2 linked regions of the Astyanax mexicanus genome follow. The protein of the gene in region 1 purifies or fractionates together with the protein of each later gene. This does not show direct contact. Links are inferred from orthologs where the notes say so. Each region holds a gene or a part of one and is shown in the gene's direction. Other genes may lie near its edges.

Region 1 (7,734 bases):
TGTAAGCCAATGTATTGCATAACAAGCAAAATATGGTTTTGCCCTAATATGCACATATAGCTAAAAAAAAAAAAAAAACACTTAAAAATGATGAGTTTCTTTGATTTTACCAAATTGAAAACCTCTGGAATATAATCAAGAGGAAGATGGATGGTCACAAGCCATAAAGTGCAGGCATAAAGTAGAATAAAGAGAAATAACTGTGATTAAAAACCAACCAGGGTTATTCCGCCACATATTAATTTCTGAATTCTTAAAACGTCTATATGAATATGAACTTGTTTTCTTTGTATTATTTAAGGTATGAAAGCTCTGCGTCTTTTTTGTTTTTGTTATTTGAGCCGTTTCTCATTTCCTATAAATAAATGCTCAAAATGACTATTTTTTTCCTGAATTTGGGAGAAATGTTGTCTGTAGTTTATAGAATAAAACAGCAATGTTAATTTTACTCAAACATAAACCTATAAATTGCAAAATCAAAGAAACTGATTCAGAAACTGAAGTGGTTTCTTATTTTTTTCCAGAGCTGTATATCTAGGAATATGTTAAGTAGAAATGTCTGAAATAGGGGCGAGAGGCGAGCCAGCAGAAAGCCTTATCCAGCAGAGAGCAAATGGATATATATTTTTTTTTAATGCACGTCAGCACAATAGAGGCGTCTCTGAAGCTCCTCTGCAGATCGCACATGTTACGTTTCTGTGGGGAGCTGAGAATGTAGGTCGTGGTGGACTGCAATTTATCATAAAGTGTGGCTCTCAGCTCCTCTGAGTCACTTCCTGTTAGAGTTGGGTTAGTTGAGCCGTTGCGTACGCGCCGTGGCCTGAGCGCTATTAGATTACACCACAGTAAACATCAGCCTCCATGCCCAGACTAACACTCCTGCATGCACCACCGGGTGGAGGGCGAGTCGTCTGAAGCGTCGCCACATGGATGCATCCGTGCGTATCCTCAGTACCCCTCTCGTTTTTTATTCTTTCTGATCTTCTGCTTTTGTAGCTCCTCTGGTTTTCGGTCTGAACTCTTGTCTGACTGTGGTTTGACGGGATGGTCTTCTGCTTTGGTGTGGGTTCCTCTGATCTTGTTCAGATTTGGACAGAAACTTTGCTTGATACTTGTTCTTTCTTTCTTTCGTTTATTCTTTCATATCAGTTTTAAAACAAAAAAAAAACTTTTGTTTAAAGAATGTCATCAAAACGAAGGCTGAAGACTGAAGGCATTTTTCAACAAGAAAATGACGGACTGTTCTGCATTTTTATTTTTTATTTATTTATTTTTTTGTTCTGGGAGCTACAATTCATGCAGCAGAATTTTTATTCTTTTCAGTGGAAATCTATCCCAACTACATCCTTCATCAAGTCTCTCAACCATGGTTCACACATCTGGTAACTTTTTAAAAAGTGAATTCAGGCAGCTGAAGAATATAATTGTCATGTTTCTTGCATGAAACATCATTGATTGCACTGTTCCTCAGCTTCAGTGCTCCTTTAAAGGGTTTGTAAGTGAGTTGCACTTTTTTCACACCTGCCCTTTTACCTCGAATCTTTACTTTCAAACAGTTTGTGCAGATAGTAAAGTTTGTGAAAGGATAGTAAGCTAATACAGATTGTGAGAAGCCATGCTGAATGCTTTGTTTTTAGAAGAGCGTAAAAATGAACTTAAACTTGCCATTTGTGGAGTGTGTGGCTGAAGAAAGGAAACACTTAAATGTGATTTTATATTAATGAGTCATTTTTCTGTACGAGATATTTAGTCTTTTTTTTTTTTTTTTTGGCTTTTATGGCTGAATAATTTTGGTTGCCAAATAGTCAGTGCATCCATACATTGTGTCTTGAATGTTATCGTTTCTCTAAAGCTAATAAACGATAGTGTTTTTTTCTCTCTCTCTCTCTCCCTCTCTCTCTCTCTCTCTTTCTCTCTTTGTCTCTCTATCTGTCTTTCTGTCTCTTTCTCTTTTGGTATCTCTCTCTTTCTCTCTCTCTCTTTCTGTCTCCCTGTCTCTCTCATGGTCTCTCTCTCTCCGTCTTTTTTTTTCTCTGTCTCTCTTTCTCTTTGTGTCTCTTTTTTCTCTTCTCTGTTCAGTTCAGTTCAGCATTGCTTTATTGGCATGAATGTAACAATCAACACTATTGCCAAAGCATAAAACAGAAAAACAAACAAACAAAAACATAATTAATAATAATGAATTAAAATAAAGATTACATACATACAATTACAACAACAGAACTTATTATTATTTACTCTGTCTCTCTCTTTCTCTCATTCTCTCTCTTTCTTTCTCTCTCTCTGTCTCTTTTGTCGCTATGTCTCTTTCTCTGTTTTTCTCTCTTTCTCTGTTTGTCCCTTTCTCTTTTTTTTCTCTCTCTTTCCCTGTCTCTCTCTCTCTCTCTCTTGCTGCAGACGGTGATACAGCTGCGTTTAGTCTCTCAGTTTTTTCTCTTTTTTTCTCTCGGCGCTCCTGACTGACGTTTCAGCGCTCCTCAGTGACCGGGTAACACACTCGAATGAAACCTGACATGATGTCCCTGTTCCCCCAGCCGGCAGTCATGTGCACGTTCCCCCATCCTCCCTGGAAAAAAACTACTCTCCCCTAGTGCACTCTGGGAATTGTAGTTTGCAGCAGCTTTGTTGTCACTGCTTCCGATATTCAGGTCACTTATCTGAGCGGACTGCCGCCGGCGTCTGGAGAATCTAACGGCCGGCGCGTGCAGCCGTTATCATCCCAGCGCCGCCTGCCTGTTCCTGTAGGAGCTCCACGACGGTGTGGGGGAACATATCCACCGTTTAACCTTGGAATTGTTTCCTTGGAATTGTTCTGTCTGTGTGCCGGAAGAGGAGGTCACAGCAGGTTAGAGGAAAGAAACAGAAAGAAGGAAATGCAAAAATTAGAGGAAGGAAAGAGGAATTAACTCATCCCATACAAGCCTTCCTCTGTCCCTACAGCTCTTTGGTTACCAGTGGAGGGTGGTTCACCTGCTTCCCCAGCATCCGTCAGTTCAGTCCTTCCATTCAGTCATCAGCGGCAGCATCCGTCTACTTTCAGTTTTTACAAAAAACACTCTTTTTTCCAATTCAGTAAAATAAAGAGTGGTTCAAAATATCCAGTGACGCATTAAACATTTCCCCTTATCTAAACCCACAACTCAAATACGCAACTGAAATAACTACCAGGAGTGGGAATCGTAGGGTATCTCACGATACATTAAATTAGCAAATACTCACAGTAACTATAAATTTATTGGCCCCAATATCACATAACCAATATTGACAACCAATATAAAACAAAGTACATAGCTAAGCTTGCTCGTGTCCCTTTAACACACATACAGTAACTGCAACTCCTCCAAGTGTGTCTCTTATTATTCTAATGTTAATGTTATTATTCTAATTCCAATGTGTGTGTGTATATATATATATATATATATAATAGATGAATTTTCATGAATAAAAAAAACATTGAGTTTTTGTACATTTCCCTCTCAGTCCAATTTTCACAAAAATTACTCAAATAAAATGCAAACTGTCTTTTGATCACAACATGGGTCAGATCCAAAGTAATATATATACATTCTATCAATATTTACATCTCATTTGAAGATATTTTAAAAGAGTTACATCTGTTACATCTGCCATTTGCGAATTTCTCCTATATATGGTTTGTAGTTTTATATAAAAATGTACTGCAAAATCTAAAAAAGTCTAAGGCTCTAAAATTTAAGATGTGAAAATGCAGTAAAACATGCACTGAATCTAGAGCCTCATCAATAGAAAGCACAAATGGAGAGCAAGATAATAATCGTGATTAATCAACTTACTGAAAGTTGATTAGTCTAAAATTCGACTAATAAAATAGTTATTTGCATCCCTAAAGCTAATGCTAATTTCCATGTTTTATTCCATGTTTATTAATGTTACGCAATATCAGAAATTAGCATCAACCCACAATATATCACACATCAGTGCATCCCCAGCTAACGTACTGTTAATGTACATGCTAGGTACAGCAGGGTACTCTTTTATAATTTGATAGAAACAGCTGTGCTATTAACTCATTTTTACCTTTAGCAATTAATAGTTGATGCATAATTCTCCTGCATAGTTCAGCCCCAACATAAATGCGTAAATGCATGAATGACTGATGCCTGCGAGGAGACAGCCAGCCAGCGAGGGAGGGAGCGAGGGAGGGGGAGCAGCAGAGGCAGGGAGGTGGAAACAGGAATCAGCAGCACCATCAACGTCTGAACGTGCACAGGGAGAGAGAGAGAGAGAGAGGGAGCGAGGGAAAAAGAGAAAGAGAGAGAGAGGGCGCTAGACAAGGAGGCGAAGAGAGCAGAGGACAGTTGGCTGCAGCGCTCACTCCCCAAATGCAGACGGAGGTGGGAAAAAGAGGAGGATGAGAGAGAGCGCGGGGGACGGAGAAGAGAACAAAGGCAGATCGCCCGGCCGATCCTTCGTTCCAGTCTTCAGGAGAGGAGAGAGGGAAGGACGGGATCCGCGTGCGGACGAGAGAGGAAGCAGAGCCCGGCTATGACTTTGTAATTTATTTATTTATTTTCCGGTAACGAGAGGAAGCAAGTCAATGAATGAAAGCAAGACCACGTTGTTCCTCTCTGAGGGAGGAGACTGACTGAGCGAACGAGAGAACAAGGGAAAGGTAGATGAAGAGAGATAGAGAGAGAAAGATGGAGCAAGACGACAAATATGACCACTGACAAAAAACTGCACCATTGAAGGATAGGAACATGAACGTGGACGATATTTGTTCCCGACACGTTGCTGAAGATAATCATGCAAGCTTTTTATATTTGATTCTTTTTGATTGACAGACTGAAAGATTGAACCTTTCGCAGCAGGAGCGAAAATCCAGATGTCAAAAATTGTTTACTTTAGATTACATTTTCTTTTCTGTAGTGTATGTGTGAGTGTGTGAGTGTGAGAGTGTGAGAGTGTGTATGCATAGCCTACTGGTTACTTAAACACTCAATCGTATATATGCAGTCAATAATCAGGTTCCTTGTATGCAAAACTTTGTGCGTTAAGTTAATGAACTCGATTGGCAAAGAGACTTTCTCTTTTCTCTTTGGAAACTCCAGTAGGTCGAGTGCTCTTGGCAGGCAGTCCTTTTTGTAAATGTTCTGTTTTTTGTCCGGAAGCGTAGCCTTGAGCAATACTTGATTTCCTCCGGACTGGTGCGCTGGCTGACGGTGCTTTGTGTAAGAGCCAGCCTTGGACAGCGATGCTATCTGATGCACTCTGCGTGGAGATGTCAGCATTGATTAGCTTTATGGCCGTGGAGACGACAGCCAAACTTTGCTGTCTCATGGCAGCGTGTTCATCAGACTATTGATCCCCCGCAGGACTCCCGCCGAGCCTTCTTTATTCTGCAGCCGGAGTCAGAGTCCCTCTCCAAAGTCTGCTTCGATTGGCCAACAGTAAAGAGAGAGAGAGGACAGGTTTTGTGTTGGTGGGCTCGCCTTTTGTTTGGGTTTCCGTCAAAGATTTTGTCTGGCAGGATTCTGCTCTCCAGTCTATTGCCATGGCAACAACCTGGCTACCGCGAAGTTCTTCTTCTTTGTTTCGTATCTTGCCGTGAAGCGAACTTTCGAGGTCGCTCAAGCTCGCGCGACTTGGGTAAGATCTGTTCCTTCGAGCAAGCTAAGCCAGGATTCTTGGTGCTCTTTTTCTTCTATTTCTCTCTTCTCTTGTCTCACTCTTGTCTAATGTTTGTGTGTACTTTTTCAGTACAATCTGTACAGTTTGCTAGATCATGTTGCATCACTGGCAATGACTAAAGGACTAAATCGACAAGTCATCATTCAATCATTCAGGATTTACACTGGTTTACTTTCTCATAAACTAATCTAAGCGTCTAATCTTGTTTCGTCACAGAAAGTAAAAAGTAGTGCACTACTTTGTCTCATATTGTCGCATTCAGGTTCTTTGACATGTACGTGTGAAAAAAAAAATATATATATATTGTGTATTACCGTTTGCGTGTACATGTACATGTAAAGTTGTGTGTTTTGTGTGTTTGAGTAAAATTGTGTGGTAGTAACTCAGGTTTTGCCTCCACCAAGGGATGGCCAGCCATACTGTGCAATTTTTCATCTGCACTAATTCCTTAAGACTAACTAAAACCTGGCTGATGATTAACCGATTAATCAATTAACCAACTAACATCACCTGAAGCGGACCTGTAAGCCGTAATCGTGAGTGTCCTGCAGAAGTTTCCGTCCTCGTCTTTTACGTCTTTCGTGTAATTCTGGAAAAGTTTTTCACTTGCATACTTTCTACAGACACTTGTTACCTCTTATTTTCCAGCGTCCTACACTGGGATTGACAGTACATCGTGTCTACAGTCAAATGGCAGCGGCTCATTCGTTCAATCCTGGAACAGACTGTCCTATTCCAACAGGGATTCTGCCATACTCTTGACGAACAGGTGCTACATCTGAGCTGCCTTGGTTTGACTCCATCCGAGGCTCGGTTCGCTGTACTGTTACTAAATAAATGTTCTTTGTAAAGTTCTCGTTGGGTTTTCTACTCCCTTTGCACTGTTTCTTCCCGAACACTGTGCTCCACGTGTGCCATGAAGCGTTGGTCACAACACCGAGAGCTTGTTTGTTGCAAACGTTGGATTGCAAACAAACATTTGAATGCAGTTTGATTGCAAATGCACCTGTCCTTTTTTTCCTGAGTGGATAGTGTGGATGGTGTACGTGCAAGTGCGGTACAGCTCGCACAGTAGAACTACGCCAGTGATTCATACTCTGTGCCATGTCCTTGTAACCACTGGTGCATTTGACCTATTGCACTTACCGGACCTCTTTGGAGCTGCACTGAAAAGACACTACTACTTATATCGCAGCTGTTAAACTTTTACACTTTAACATAGCAGCGTTGGGAAACCTTTGTCTTGGAGCAAAGCTCCCAGCAAGGATCTTATTAGAGTAAGTAAGTAAGGAGTCCTGCAGTGGCCGTGATTGCCAATCTGACTGCTCGTCACGTCTTTTAGGACTTTGCTAATGGGTTTTGCTCTACCCGACTATAGCAATTGGTGCTGTTTAGAACAATCTGATTAACATCTCGTCAGTTTATCTGATGATTAAAGCAGCTGCTCACACGTCTACGCTGACGGAAGACAAATATGCAGCGGAAGCCTCTGAGGATGAGAGCCTAATGAGCGAGGCTAGACTACTGCCAGCAGTAGCTCGGGCTGAGAAGTGTGCATACTGTTAGAACAGAAAGTGCTTTGGAGATTAAGGTAACAGATGTAGTGGGATTAGATTGCGATGAATTCTTGTGCTAAGACTGTTCTGCTCGAGTCCGTTCCAGACTGTTTAGAAGCGTCAGCTTTTAAAGACTGTCGCTTTTCTGGCTTGAAGCTTTGTTAGGACTCGAGGACTCAAGGACTTGAGGACCCGGCTAGGTCAAGCTGCTTTCAGGGTAGCTTTTCTCTCAGGAAACAGATTTCATATGATGGTACTATTCCGCAGCTCCTAGGTGTCACTTAAGGTAATGAGGGAGTGATTGATTTTCCAGTCAGCCTCTAATGAGCCCCTCTTCTCCGAGATCTCTGAGGGCGGAACGTCAGACAGAGCCAATCAGGTCTCATTATCATTAGGCTGACAAGCTGGTGTTTGTCATTCTCGGGGGAACTCCGCCTTTATAGGGGTTGGCGGTTTATCACTCTGAAACATTATTATCGCACATGACACTACTGAACACTACTGGACA
Region 2 (7,653 bases), on another chromosome or scaffold:
TTACAGGTTCCTTTAGACACACTTCTAATTATGTTACATTATTGACTTGCACAACAAGAATGTCTACTTACCCCAATAACCTTCTTGGCACCAGCCTTAGCTGCAAACATACACAGGATGCCAGTTCCACTGCCCACATCCAACACCACCTTATCTTTGAACAGATGCTTGTTGTGAAACATGGAGTTTCTGTATGTGAGAGTTCGCACTTCATCTTTAAGCATCTCCTGTAAACACCAAATAAAAGCATTAGAAAACAGGTCGTAAGGTAGGAAATTAAGTCTAAACTATTAAATACTGTACAGTATTGAATACAGGGGTATAACAACAAGAGTACCAACCTCGTGGATGCCAAAGTGAGCATAGGAATCAAAGTAGTAGTCCTTGGACGTCATGTCTTCAGCCGCAGGCTTCTCTGAGCTCTCTCCCTGGGACACCTGGAGAACAAAGGATTAAATAAATACTACATTTAAAACAAAAGCCAAAAGAGTTTCAGCCTGGAGTTTTAAGTAAATTGTGTTTTTGTGGAATTTCGCAAGATAAAAAGAACATAAAAGAACACTTAAGGCCCCCAAAATAATTTTAAATGGAATCAAAACTTAAAAAAAAAAAAAAAAACACACTTAAATTCTTAAATTTAACACCCCACAATGGGTGGCGGACTGGAGAAGTTCACAGGAAAAAGGGGGGCAGACAAAGGCTTTTATCACTAACAGACCAGCACACGTGGTATGTAAAATAAATGAGGCCTGGTCCTACAATAAACCGTACTGTACTCGAGCCTCTGAAAGGGAAACGATCCTAAGAAATCATTTTTGTACCTTTTACAGTAAAGGGGTAAGGCCATGTAGATAAAAAATATGTCCTTAAAATTTAAATTCTCAGTTCCACCTTAAAAAGTACAGAAGTTACATTCTGGCGCCGCTAGCTCCATCTGTAGCAGCTGCGGTGCCATTTAAGGTGGACCGGGGAATTCGCGAGAGGCCACCTTTAGCTTCTATAGCTAAAAAAGGTTACTAGTTATGGTCAGTGGCTAAATCTCAGTAGATAAGCTTTACTACTTCAAAACTAACCAAAAAAAGCTCCAACTTCTAATATCACTTTGGTTAACACATGTAGAAACAACGAGGCGGCGGCGTTAGCTACCCGATCTAAGCTAACTAGCTAAGTTGGCTAACATGCTAACCTAGGTAGATACCCAGCTAGCCAATCCCATGCGTTCTCTATTAGCAGCACAGCTAACCTAGCTAAATAACTATAGACAGAATAGTGATTCATTAATAAATACAAACGGAGCAGTAGATAAAACAAACGGAATGTTTAACAGACGCCATAACCCCACGGCGGTACTGTGTGTTAGCAGATTAGCAACCACGTGTTAGTGGAAATGAATGGGGAGCGATGTGCTGCTAAAATGGATGCTCCTATACGCACATTACCGAGAGCTCAGGTCACTACGCAACGAGCTAATTAGCGAAATAAGCGGGTCAGCGGCTCCGCCACACAGCCTCTACCGAACAAACACGGCCCCTAAGCGCGCTGGGATTTCTCCCACATGAACCGCGGTCTCCCCCTGCCCGTCTTTGTTACGCGGCTCCAGCTCACCTCCATCCTGTCCGTCGTCTCCGCCATTTCGCCGACAAGTTTTGGACTCGCAGCTGCAGCGCGGAACATTAAACGCTCCCCTTTAGACTCCCGCCCACATACTCCGGCTCTCTGATTGGACTGCTGCGATGAAGTACCTCCCAAACTACGCCTTTTCCTCTAAATCCAGTCCCCATTGGCTCTAAATCCAGTCATCATATCGGTAATTGGGCCGCTGTAACGTGACCCCACCCATTGTAACGCCCTTTCTGATAAACCCTGTCGCTATTGGCTCAGTGTGAAGCCATCAACGCCGTGATTCGGGATTGTTTGCGATTCCAGCCCCAGTTCCTGCAGTATTTTCGCTTTTCATGTAAATCCTGACCAGTCCAGGTTTTAAATCCACTGAAGAGTTGTGATTGGACAGCTTTCATGTTGCCCCACCCCCGATAGCTTTTATTCTCATTTGAACGTGCCTTGTTTTTTGGAAGGATATTAATAATAGATACAGTCAGTTTATACATTCAATATCATACAGTAGCAGCAGTACTATGTCTGACATAATCATGCCAGATGAACTTATTTTGTATGTAAACTTAATTTCACTATCAATCAATTAATATGAATTCTTTTCAAATGTTTTGATCTAGTCATGGGTTGTAATTATTGCTTATCATTTGATAAAAAAAATTGTATAATTTTGATTAGAATGAACAAAAAAAAGGCAAATAATACTTTCCCTAATATTTGTGTCCATTCTGGCCAGTAAGACATGAGTTGTGTTCCAATTGCGTACCTACTAGTAGTAACTAGTTTTGGGGTATTTAGTGTGTAGTATAGATAAAAGTTGAGTATACTAAAAAATCTGCCAAAAAAGGAAAAACATAAATTATTTTTAAAAAGTGCCTTATGACTTCACTGCCAGTAAAAACGGGTTTATTTATTAATATTTTTGTGTGCTAACCTGCAAAACTCACACTATTAGGACCAGTATATAGTACATACCTATATTATTATTATGCAGTTCGCAATTGGGACGCACCCTTGGAAAACGCTAGAGGGCGCTCTTGAGTAAATCTAAAAAGAAATATTCCTTTTGTGTAAATTCCTAATTGTTAGATGATTCATCGTTTTTTACACAGGCAGTAGCAGCATATAACGTTTATCACTGACATGTATATAAGTGCTTTTTAACTTACAAAACTCACAAAACTACGTATTCACTTTTTGTAAACATCTTCTCTAATTAATGCATTCAATTACTTTAAGTTGCACCCATTGCTGGAACAAAAAGAGAAAAGTACACACACAGCTTATCTAGTCCCTGTAGAAAAGTTTTGCCAATAGAATAAGCCATCCCTGGACAATAGAGACAGTTACTCAGTTACTAAAAATGGTTGTTTGTGTTTCTACTGTAATACTGCATTAAATATTTTATTGTGCTATTGATATTGATTTGATATTGTTGTAAAATGACAGCACTGCATTGCAGTTACTGTGACAGGGCCTGAAATAAGCAGCTATCTCCCTCCATCGCAGAGTAAAAAGCTGATCAATGATGTCAGATAGAGTGTAGTTGCAATGATTGGTGTTGAGGATGGTGTAAAGTATACAGCAAAGGGAGCAATTGACTTTCCACACAGGGCAGTGGGTATTGCGTAATGATCATATTTATGATACTTCATAGCAAGTGACATTAATCTTCCATAATAAAGTCCACGGTGTGGTGGCACAGTACGTCAGGATGGTTTATTGCAGTGTGCAGTACACTGAGGTTAATGTTCCCAGAGAGCCAGAAAAACAGATGTTCAAGGATAACATGCTAAAAATCTATTTTTTTTATATAATATTGACAAATCTATGATCAAAACTGTGGTAAACCAGTGTGTCAGACATCAGACAGCATACCAAAATCCGTTAACTTTCTGTAAATGAGCTCTTAGAGATGGTTCCTTTCATTTGAACCATATCAAATAACTCAAATACGCTTATTTTCCGCTAGACTATTTGATTATATCATATATAAAATAAATATATTTAATGTAGAAACAAAGCAAGTTTTACTGATCCAGATTCAATTTAAACGAGCTATTAATGTTTTCATAACGGCATTACAAACTATTACCAGCCAATCAGCGTGTGCTGTGGTAGCAGGGGGGCGGAGCTTCTCGAGAGGAAGCACTAGAATCCTTTACTACTGATACTGCTGGAGTGTAGACGAACTTTGATTCAGTTTACCGAACCGATTCTTTCGAATTGCCCGATTCAGTGACTCATTCTCGTTTTTAGGGTGGGAGAGGTCCCGCAATTATTAGCTTGCTTTTTTTGTTTACATTGTGGCAAAAATCAAAATACAGCTGCATGAATCATAAAACGATATTCGTACACATAGATAAAATAAGATTGCAAATAATGTATTAATAAATAATAAAATAATAGATAATCTAAATAATAATAAAATAAAATAAAATAAAAAAACTGAGAAGTTGCAGATATTTAAAAAGTACACGTTATAAACATAAAATAATTAAGTAATGCAATTACATGTAGATTTTAATAGTTTTAAACAAATTGCATCATATACAACACACATTTTTTTACCACAATTTTACTGTGTGGAAAAAAACACAGTGTTTTTTTCTAGTGCATGCTGTGCACGATTAATAAACCAGGGAGCAGACAACATGTATTTAATTTCCTTATGCATGCAATGAATAACAACAACAACACAATATAATATTGTCTTTATTTATTTATCATGCATCTTCGTCTCTTCTTCTTGATGAGAATCGTGGTTCTGGAACCTACGAGTATCACTGAGTGCAAGAAACTAAATAAAAGTATAAATATACTTCTAACATAATGATAACTTAGTTTTGAACACTAAAGTAAACATTATATAGGCTGCCACAGTAAGGATTAATTCACTCTGATTCGGTTCAATGGATTTATTTGCAAATGAACCGATTCTTTCCCGAGTCGGACATCGCTATTCGTTCGTTCTGTCACGAGCCTCGTCCGTGAACACCGACCTGGCGCGGCAGGCACGAAACCGACGACCTCGAACCGAATTCTAGACTACATATTTGTGTTTTTCCAGCTAAATATAAGATTGTTCGCCGAAAAAAACGTTAGGTTTGACCGTCTCCGACCGCGCTGGTCATTCCGGGTGATGTATTCTAACGTTTGATAGCGCTAGCCTGCCAGCTAGCTGGTCCGCTAGCTCGCCGTGCCGTGACTCACAGCGAGCAGAAAGGAGATCAAATATTTTATTTTTTAATCGCTTTCCTCCCTCTCCCGGTGGCTGTTTATGTTGTGTAGGACATCCACTCATCTACAGTGTGTTATAGGAAAACGACCCGCTGTAAATTTGGTTTTACACACCAAGTGACTCAGTCCTGTCGTCGTTTGGGCCAGTAGTTAAATTTTGGACTGTTGGGTTTGAATGAATTTAAACGGCGGCGGTCGGAGCGCAGCGGGTTTCTCGCTTATGAATTGACAGATACATATTTTGAATAAAGAAGCACACAGGCAGAAAGAGAGATAGGTTGTAGACACTTTGACTTTCAGGTCTGGTTATTTCAGCTTTCACACAACTGTGTTAGCAGCTATCGTTAGCTAGGTGGCTAACTCTCTAGCACATTAAACATCCATCAAAAGCGCCAGAGTACGGGTTAGTTAACGTTAGCTTTAGCTAGCTTCTCGGCTAACATAGCTCTAGCTAGTTAGGTAGCTCAGTGGTGCTGTGCTACGAAACGAGCGTATTTTGTGGAAAGCGAGGTGAGCTAAACCGTCGTAGGTCGACAAAAAGTGGTTTATTTTTCGTGTAAGGTGAGAAGAAACAACAAAATCCTGCAAAGATGCCGGCTGTGTCGAAAGGAGACGGAATGCGAGGATTAGCGGTCTTCATATCGGACATAAGAAACTGTAAGTGCCATTTATACTATTAAGAGTGACTGTTTATAGGCCTATAGCTAATATAGAGGGTGTTTATGCTTAAAAAAAACGAAGCATAAGGATAATTTACAGCTGTTAAATAGTTAGCTAATGGTGAAGGTTAGGGAGCTGGTTTTGGTCCAACGCGGGTCTCCCTTGTAGGATGTGTAGATAAGCTAGCTAACTAGCTAGCGCTATCTAGGTGAGCTAGTTAAGTCTAAAGTAGCTATCTGGAAAGCTAACGAGTTAACCTAGCTAAGGAGAGGTCGTTGATTTAGTGTGCGTCCACTCAGGTTACACTGCTTTGGATGTGCTTGATATGATATATGATATTTGAAGGCCCTGCTCACTGTGGATTAGGCTAACTAGCTAGCTACATCCTGGAAATGATCTTCCACAGTTTGCAGAGACATGTAGGTAACGTAGTTAGGCCTCTACGATAAACCCCAGATTCCTCTAGAGATCCAACAGTTACACGTAGCATCTGTTATTAATTTGTCTTTGCCTAAATAAGCCAAGCCTAAAGAGGTCAGTCAGTCAGTCTTGTAGTGGAGACCGGGTCTTGTCTAACCCAAGTCTCTCTTGTGGGATGGGCAGGTAAGGGGGGGGGGGGGGGGTCGCTTCATGTGGGTTCCACCAACATTGCAATGGATGTTCTTGATATGTTGTCTGATATGACATGAAAGGCCCTGCTCAGTGTGGAGTACATCCTGGAAATGATCCTCCACAGTTTGCAGAGGCACGTAGGCTTCTTTTGGAGGCAGGATACAAACATAGCAACTTCATAAGCTGTTTATAATCCAAAAGTAGCCATGCGTTATTATGAAGTTTCATAGTGTTTTAATTTAGCGTAATGGTTTAGGTTTAACCCTGATCTGATTTTGGGATGAGCGTGTAACAAGGGGTCATTGCTCCACGAGAGTTCTACCTACACTGCTTTGGACGTGCTTGATATGATATTTGAATGCCCTGCTTGGTGTGGAATAGGCAAACAAGCTAGCTAGAAAGTTACATCCTGAAAATTATCTTCCACACTTTGCAGGGGTAATGTTATGTAGCTAGTCAGCTAGGCCTCTAGACAAACACCAGTTTTTGCTTCAGACCTAGAAGTTACACGTAGCAAGCTCACAATCTGTTAGTAATCTGTCTTTGCCTAAAGAAGCCATGCCCAAAGAAGTCAGTCAGCCAGTCACTCCTGTAGTGGAGATTGGGTTTAGTCCAACCCAAGTCTCTCTTTTGGGATGGGCAGGTGAGGGAGTTCGTTGCTTCAAGTGTGTTCCACCAACATTTCTGTGGATGTTTTTGATATGATATCTGATATGACATGCAAGGCCTTGCACAGTGTGGACCGTGAAGTACATCCTGGAAGGCTACTTTAACAAAACCAGTTTTTTGCCTTAGAAGCTGGAGATGATCATAGTTATCTTCACAGGCTGTTCTTGGTCTTGGCCAAATATAGCCATGCATTTTATTTTGACTATTTAGTGTTGTAATTTAGTGGAATAGTTTTGCTCCATCCCTTGTCTAGTTGTGGTATGAACAGGTGAGGAGGAGACATTGCTTCATGAGTGTTTCCACATACATTGCTTTAGGTGTTCTTGGGATGATATCTGAAATTATATAAAAGACCCTCCTTAGTGTGGAGTATGTCATGAAATAATCTTCCACCTTTTTGCAAAGGCTTGTCTGCCTCTACTACAAAGCCAAACCAATCTAGATCAGCTGTGTTTGTATGATAAAACTACAGGCACTTCCTATGGGATTGAGTGTTACAGAGACCAGTCTTTTTTTACTTACAGTTGCTAATGTTGTAGTCAACTGGTTTTGGTCAAAGCCAGTTTTTTCTTGTGGGCTGGTGGGTAAAGGTAGTTTATTTAGCCCAATATTTGTTCCACTTGCATTGTTACTGGATGTGCTTGCTATGTTTTTTAATGTTTTTTTTTTAAACTTATGTTTTTTATAAGTGATATGAGATTAAAAGCTCTGCTTGCTGTGAAGTGTCTTGTAAAGGATCTTCTACCTTTTTCAAAGCTGTGTAGACCCTTTTCAACAAAACAAAGAGGTTTGCATCTCAGAAACAGAAGATAAACACAGCAAGTTCACAAGTGTCCATAATCTGTCCTCACCAAAAGG

What was found. The genes of interacting proteins can lie anywhere in the genome.
Region 2: the proteins of shc1 (region 1) and ap2a1 purify together in Homo sapiens (affinity purification with mass spectrometry; 4 studies listed by BioGRID and IntAct, counting the BioPlex papers as one, with this or other methods). This does not show direct contact. The link is inferred for Astyanax mexicanus from reciprocal best matches to the Homo sapiens genes SHC1 and AP2A1.

The regions. Positions count from the first base shown.
Region 1 is NC_064413.1:2,311,841-2,319,574, reverse strand, and holds the start of shc1 (SHC-transforming protein 1), read left to right. Parts: upstream 1-4,664; 5' UTR 4,665-7,734. UniProt on the Homo sapiens protein: Signaling adapter that couples activated growth factor receptors to signaling pathways. Participates in a signaling cascade initiated by activated KIT and KITLG/SCF.
Region 2 is NC_064426.1:20,247,372-20,255,024, reverse strand, and holds the start of ap2a1 (AP-2 complex subunit alpha-2), read left to right. Parts: upstream 1-4,567; 5' UTR 4,568-5,444; coding exon 5,445-5,511; intron 5,512-7,653. Other genes in the region: prmt1 (protein arginine N-methyltransferase 1), read right to left, coding at 72-227, 342-437, 1,606-1,674.